Sus scrofa: one gene and its partner. The protein of the gene in region 1 purifies or fractionates together with the protein of each later gene. This does not show direct contact. Links are inferred from orthologs where the notes say so. Each region holds a gene or a part of one and is shown on either strand. Other genes may lie near its edges.

What was found.
Region 2: the proteins of SLC7A14 (region 1) and GOLM1 purify together in Homo sapiens (co-immunoprecipitation; 3 studies listed by BioGRID and IntAct, with this or other methods). This does not show direct contact. The link is inferred for Sus scrofa from reciprocal best matches to the Homo sapiens genes SLC7A14 and GOLM1.

The regions. Positions count from the first base shown.
Region 1 is NC_010455.5:109,123,366-109,127,018, reverse strand, and holds part of SLC7A14 (probable cationic amino acid transporter), read left to right. Parts: coding exon 1-647; intron 648-3,653. UniProt on the Homo sapiens protein: Imports 4-aminobutanoate (GABA) into lysosomes. May act as a GABA sensor that regulates mTORC2-dependent INS signaling and gluconeogenesis. The transport mechanism and substrate selectivity remain to be elucidated.
Region 2 is NC_010452.4:29,204,434-29,208,086, forward strand, and holds part of GOLM1 (Golgi membrane protein 1), read left to right. Parts: intron 1-2,708; coding exon 2,709-2,868; intron 2,869-3,529; coding exon 3,530-3,653.

The DNA.
Region 1 (3,653 bases):
AAAGAAGAAGGAGGGGATTCTGGCTGACTGTGAAAAGGAAGTTTGTTCTCCTGTGAGTGAAGGGGAAGAGTTTTCCGGCCCAGCCACCAACACATGTGGGGCCAAGAACTTACCATCCTTGGGTGACAATGAGATGCTCATAGGGAAATCAGACAAGTCAACCTACAATGTCAACCACCCAAACTATGGCACCGTGGACATGACCACAGGCATAGAAGCTGATGAATCTGAAAACATTTATCTCATCAAGTTAAAGAAGCTGATTGGGCCCCGTTACTACACCATGAGGATCCGGCTGGGCCTTCCAGGCAAGATGGATCGGCCCACAGCAGCTACAGGGCACACGGTGACCATCTGTGTGCTCCTGCTCTTCATCCTCATGTTCATCTTCTGCTCCTTCATTATCTTTGGTTCCGACTACATTTCGGAGCAGAGCTGGTGGGCCATCCTTCTGGTCATTCTAATGGTGCTGCTGATCAGTGCCCTGGTATTTGTGATCCTACAGCAGCCAGAGAACCCCAAGAAGCTGCCCTATATGGCTCCCTGCCTCCCCTTTGTGCCTGCCTTTGCCATGCTGGTGAACATCTATCTCATGCTAAAGCTCTCCACCATCACCTGGATCCGGTTTGCGGTCTGGTGCTTTGTGGGTAAGCAACTTCCTTTGGAGCCTTGGGAGGTCCCTTATTAAGGCCTTGTCCAGGATTATCCCAAAACTACTTCCTAGCTGGACTCAGCATCCCCAATCCAAGAGAAATCTGGCTGGTTGTTTCTGTGGATTCTTGCTTTCTGCTTTAGGGTCAAAAGAGCCAACTGTGCCCATTCTGCCTGTTAAGATCTTGGTTGGTGATTCTGAAGAATGATACTGATCAGTCCCTCACTTCATTGAATACTATTACTGGACGTTCTTGTGGATAATTAGTACCATAGAAAGTCCATTTAAAATGAATCCACATTTTTAAAATGACAAAAATTACATATAAAAGCAAGGGTGGGAAAGGTTGAGTGGAATTCTTAAAAACTAAAAATTATGAAACTAAAAAATTATTAAAAATTTTATTTATCTTATATTTGACAAAATTAAAATAGCAATCATGCCATATTTTTAAAGAAGCAAAGTATAAATTAAGCATAGGTTTTTGGCACAATTTTTTAGACAAAAGTGTATCATGACACAATTTAACAGCCCTCACTATTTAATGACTTTTGTAAAATATTCAAGAGTTTTTCATTCTTTCCCAAGGTCTTTCTTAACCCTTTAATATTCCAATCATTCTCTTGGGAAGTACCCATCACACATCATCCCATTGATTTTCTCTTGTTCTGTCAACAACTAATAGGACTCTGTCAGGTCCTTGATGTCCACAGCTTTGAGTGAAGTACCACTTCTCTCTCTAAACTCACTTTCATTGCTTCAGGATGTCCTGTATCTTTCCCAAGATTTCTAGTTTTCCTTTAGGACCAATTTATATTATATTCACATTAAATATTTATCCTCTATGACTGTCACTGATGTTTATGAAATGGCTGGTGATTGGTGCTCATGACACCTTGAGAGGGATGTTTAAGTGAAAACTAATTTTAAAGTTACTATTTTTCTATTTCCTATACAACTTGGTAACCCTGGGGTCTCTGGCAACAAATACTTAGCTAAGAAGGATCCTTAGAGTGCTTTAAGGAATAGGAAAGTAAAGAATAAGTAACCCCATCTTAAGGAGGGGAAAGACAGATACATGGGGAAGGCATCATAGAGACTCACTGAGTTGTAGCCCATCCACTCCTCCAGGTCAGGGATATGGGTTCAACTTGGTGCCTTCTGTACCCAGAACACAGTCTGTGCTTAATAAATACCGCCCTATGATTATAAAGCACTCCAGATGAGAAAAAAAGAAACTTCCGATCAGAATAGCTGGAAAGGACTTTGAGAAGGCAGCATCTGAACTGGGCCTGTAAGACAGGATTCAGATAGTGGGAAGCAGGGGAAAACAGTACTCAAAGGAAAGGGCATATGTCTCCCAGCAGATTCCTCACCTCTGAGGCCAGCCTCTGCCTTCCTGGAAGCACTGTGTACCCATTTCTCACTACCCGAAGCCTCATCCTTTGTTAGACTTCAGGGATCTCTTGAGAGGACCCCACTGACTTATAAAAATTCTAAGCATTTATGTGATTTATTCACAAATATCTCTTTTCTGTTTAAACATTTTTCTACTGGAACAAGAAGCTAAGCAATGAACAAATGCTACCATCAATAGAAATGACTGAAGTCAGTAGAAATATTAGAGTCACGTATTTCTCAATTGAATGAAGGCATAGACGCAAATACACGTGAATTTACTCATTTTTTCCTGGGTTATTCAAGCCAGAAGAAGCCTTCAACATCTAATACAATGTTCCCCAGAGTGTAGTGACCATTCCACTGCTAATATTTGGACTGATTTTAGCAAGTATATGAATGAATTATTTAATATTATATAGTTATTATTTACTTTCACTTATTCACATGAATCTGATTATTTTTAAATTTTAAAAGTGAGTCAAATTAAGGAAATACATTAGTACTAATACATGTGCCATATGATTCAAAGTAATAATTAACACATACAACATTTGTCACATTTCAGTCATCATTCCAGGGGCTCTATTTATATTAACTTAGTTAATCCTCACAACCACCTCCATTTTACAGATAAGGAAACTGAGGCACTTGACTGAGGTCAGATAGTTAGAATTTGCAAAGCCAAATTAGAACTGGTGGTGTGGGTCCAGAGTCCATGATCATAGTCACCCTACTAAAAATACAGTATATAAATCTAAATAAATATAAAGTTTGAGAAATACTGACATGGTCCACCACTTCCCCACTTCTCCCTCAATTTTATAGGAAGTAAACTGAACCTCCAAGAAGTTAAATAACATGCTCGAAGTCAAAAGGAGTAATAGGAACTTATTCACAGAGTTATTACTATACTTTAGAAATCTCCATGCTTAGATCTGGGGCTCCTACCTCCCCACCCGAGTGCCTCTGAGCAACTTTATTTGCTCAGAATGTTTGATATGTGGCCTGTACAGATTAACACATAACATCAGAGCTGGCTTCATGGGTAGATGATCTGTGGAGTCACACTGGGCCCCACACTTGGTTTAATGCTCTGGTGCTGTCTTCTTCGATTCTTAACAATTTTCTAACAAGAGGGTCCATGGTTTCATTTTGCACTGGAACCCACCAATTATGTACTTGGTCCTACATAATATCCATGTTTCTGGAGCACCAGAGGAGTTTTGCAAAAGCAGGGTGGTGGCAGGGGCAATTGCCCTTGGAGTCAGACAGCACCAAGTTGAAATCATAGCCACTTCCTTGTGACCTTGGAAAGTTCAGTTAACTCCTTGGGGCCTCAGTTTACTCATCTGTAAAACTGCAGATAATTCTAACCTTGATCTGGTTGCTGAAAATGTCAGGAAAAGTAATAAGAACTATTTCTTTCTTGACTTCCTTTTAAAACTCTAAAATGATTCATTGTTCCCCAGACTAGCTATCACATGCTAAAGTACAACGTGAACCTGTTCTGACTCAGGTTGCCCTTCTAGTTATCAGGCAGAAGACAACTCCCAGAGAGCCTTTTGTAATCTTGCTGATAGCACAAATTTCACACTGGCTC
Region 2 (3,653 bases), on another chromosome or scaffold:
AGTAGTTCCCATCCTGGTTCAGTGGAAATGAATCTGACTAGCATCCATGAGGACACAGGTTTGATCCCTGGCCCTGCTCAGTGGGTTAGGGATCCAGCACCACTGTGAGCTGTGGTGTAGGTTGCAGACATGGCTCGGATCCCGTGTTGCTGTGGCTGTGGTGCAGGCCTGCAGCTGTAGCTCAAATTTGACCCCAAGCCTGGGAACCTCCATATGCCCCATGTGTGGCCCTAAAAAGACCAAAAAAAAAAAAAAAAAAAAAGACAAAACCAAAAAGTGAGAGTAGCTATCCTTGTCCTTGATCACAGGGGAAAGTCCTAAATCTTTCACAGTTACGTTTGATGTTAGCTGTGCAGGCATACCTCATTTTAGTGTGCTTCTTGGATTTTTTTTTTTTTTTTTTTTTTTGAACACGTTGAAGGCTTGTGGCAGCCCTATGCTGAGGAAGTGTATTGGCTCCATTTTTCCAACAGCGTTTGCTCGTGTCATGTCTCTGTGTCACATTTTGGCAATTCTTTTTTTTTTAATTTTTAAATTTATTTCCTTTTTAGGGCTGTATTTGCAGCATGTGGAAGTTCCCAGGCTAGGGTTCGAATTGGAGCTCTAGCCACCAGCCTACACCAGAGCCACAGCAACACGGGATCCTAGCCGCGTCTGCGACCTACACCACAGCTCATGGCAACGCCAGATCCTTAACCCACTGAGCAAGGCCAGGGATCAAACCTGCAACCTCATGGTTCCTAGTCGGATTCGTTAACCACTGCGCCACAACGGGAACTCCAAAAACACCAGTTTTATGTGCACTAGGAATTCAAACAATTTGTGCGACTTGCTTTATGCAGTATTCATTTTATCGGGATGGTTTGGAACTAAACCTGCAATGTTGTTAAGGTATGCCGATATATTTTTCTTTTTCTTTTTTTTTTTTTTTTTTTTTTTAGGGCCGCACCCGCAGCATATGGAATTCCTAGGCTAGGGGTCAAATCAGAGCTGCAGCTGCCAGCTTACACCACACTCATGGCAATACCACGGATCCAAGCCACATCTGTGGTCTATGCCACAGCTCACAGCAGTTCTGGATTCTTAACTCACTGAGTGAGGCCAGGTCTCAAACCTGCATCCTCATGGATACTAGTTGGGTTTGTTTTTGCTGAACCACAAGGGGAAGTCCTTCGGCGGGGAATTTTAAATTATGACTTCAATCTCTTGTTATACAAGTTTTCTCAGATTTTCTACTTCTTGAATCAGTTTTGTCTTCCTGGGAACTTGTCTGTTTCAGCTAAGTTATCAAACTTGTTGGCAAACAGTTGTCAGTATTTGCTTGTAATAAGACTTGTTTATGTAAGATTGGTAGTGTTATCCCCTTTCATGTTTTTATTTCAGTAATTTCAGTCTTTTTTTTTTTTTTTTTTTTTTTTGTCTTTTTGCTGTTTCTTTGGGCCGCTCCCGCGGCATATGGAGGTTCCCAGCCTAGGGGTCAAATTGGAGCTGTAGCCCCTGGCCTATGCCAGAGCCATAGCAACGCAGGATCTGAGCCGCGTCTGCAACCTACACCACAGCTCACGGCAATGCCAGATCGTTAACCCACTGAGCAAGGGCAGGGACTGAACCCGCAACCTCATGATTCCTAGTCAGATTCATTAACCACTGCACCACGACAGGAACTCCAATTTCAGTCTTTTTATTCTCAGTTAATCTAGCTAAAGCTTTGTCAGTTTTGTTGAGCTTTTAAAGAACTAACTTCCGGTTTCATTGATTTTCTTTATTGGTTTTCTCTTCCATTTGTCATCCATTCCTGCTCTAATCTAGAGTATGTCTTTCCTGGCTTTAGGTTTAGTATGCTTTTCATTTTCAAGTATCTTGAAGTGGAAGATTAGGTTGTTGTCCAGAGATCAGTCTCTTTTCTTGATAATAGGGCTGTGAATTTCCCTCTGAGTACTGCTTTAGCTGCCTTCCGTAAGTTTGGTGTATGGTGTTTTCATTTTAATTTTTGCTTTTTTTTTTTTTTCAGGGCTGCACATGTGGCATATGGAAGTTCCCAGGCTAGGGATACCATAGCTACGCCATAGCTATAGCAACACCAGATCCAAGCTGCATCTGTGACCTGCAGCACAGCTCACGGCAACGCTGGATCTTTAATCCACTGAGCAGGGCCAGTGATCAGACCTGCATTCTCATGGATACTAGTTGGGTTCATTACCACTGAGCCACAACGGGAACTCCCAGGTTAATCCCAAGGTATTTTTCTAATGTTCCTTGTGATTTCTTCGGCCCGTTCGTTATTTAGGAGCATGGTGTGTAATATCCACATATTTGTAAATTTCTCCAATTTCATTTTGTTACTGATGTATAATTTCATTCCATTATGACACTGTATGATAACAGTCTATGTGCCCTTAACAAGAGTGTGTGTTTTGCTCTTGTTGGGCTGGCTGCTCTGTAGAGGTGGTTTGGGTGGTTTGTCCTCTTGTTCAAGTCTTCTTTTTCCTTGTTGATCTTCTGGCTGCTTGTTAATATGGGTGATCTGGACTTTAGATTGTCTGCTTTATGCCAGCTGGTCAGGGATGATGGGGGCAGAGCCAGGCATTGCTCAGGGTCTTGGTGCTCTTGTTTGCCAGAAGGACAGAGTGGTCCATTGCATTGCTCAGGGTCATGGGAGGTTTCTGGTCACAAAGACCCTGCCCTGGGCGCCTGTGCTTCTGTTTCAGCTCCCAGCTCCCAACCAGCCCCAGCCCAGACCGCAGGAAGCAGACCTACCCCAGGCAGGGGTGTCCCAAGCGAGAGGACGTGCGCCCGGCAACGGTGAGCCCCGGACGCCAGCGCCCAGTGCTGAGGCGGTTTTGGATTTGAAGAGACAAGGTGAGAAAGGTGAGTGAGGCTTGGCCGTGACTCATTTCAGCCCCCATCAGGGCCCTGTGGCCACACAACCATAGCAGCAGATCATGTCCTTCGTTCCGTATAGACACACAGGGCAGAGTTGCTGCTGGCGGCTGACTGTGAGCTCAGTAATGGGCGGGAGGGGGGCAGGTGAATGTCTTTCTGGGCATCTGAACTTGGGCCTTGGGGCCCTTCCCCTGCCTTACTGCTGTCTCACGCTTGTTATTTGGCAGCTCTGTACATGGAGGTCTGGCTTTGGCTTTGCTCAGGATGCTGGTGGGTCTGTGGGATGCAGGGAAGTGGCTGAGTCCTGAGCAGCTGGCCCTGGCTCCCGGCGCTTATCTCAGTCAGATGGGATCATCCAACAGCCTCAGTGGCTCAGCCTCCTCTGCTTGTAGCTGGTTGCTGTTATTGAGATAACTTAGTTTGGCCTTTTTTTCTAAATCATTCCCTCTTCCTCGTGCTTCTGAAGATGAGCTGCAGGCATAGAGAAGCTGGGAGTCTGCTGAGGTCACGAAGTAAATTATCCAGTCACGCCATCCGTCCACTGCCCTTGGGAAGGCTCTGGGGATTGAGGGGTACGAGGGCTTCTGGGTGGTTTTACTTAAATTAATTGCTCGTGAGGTGGCTGCTAACTCTCTTCTGTGCACAGAGGAAACCAAGGAGATTCAGGTTGCCAGCGAGGAGGAGGAGGCGGCGGCAGCGCAGAGGGATGCCCTGGGGCAGCCGCAGGATCCAGGCCAAGAGCAGGCCGGGGCCGAGGCCAGAGACGTGGG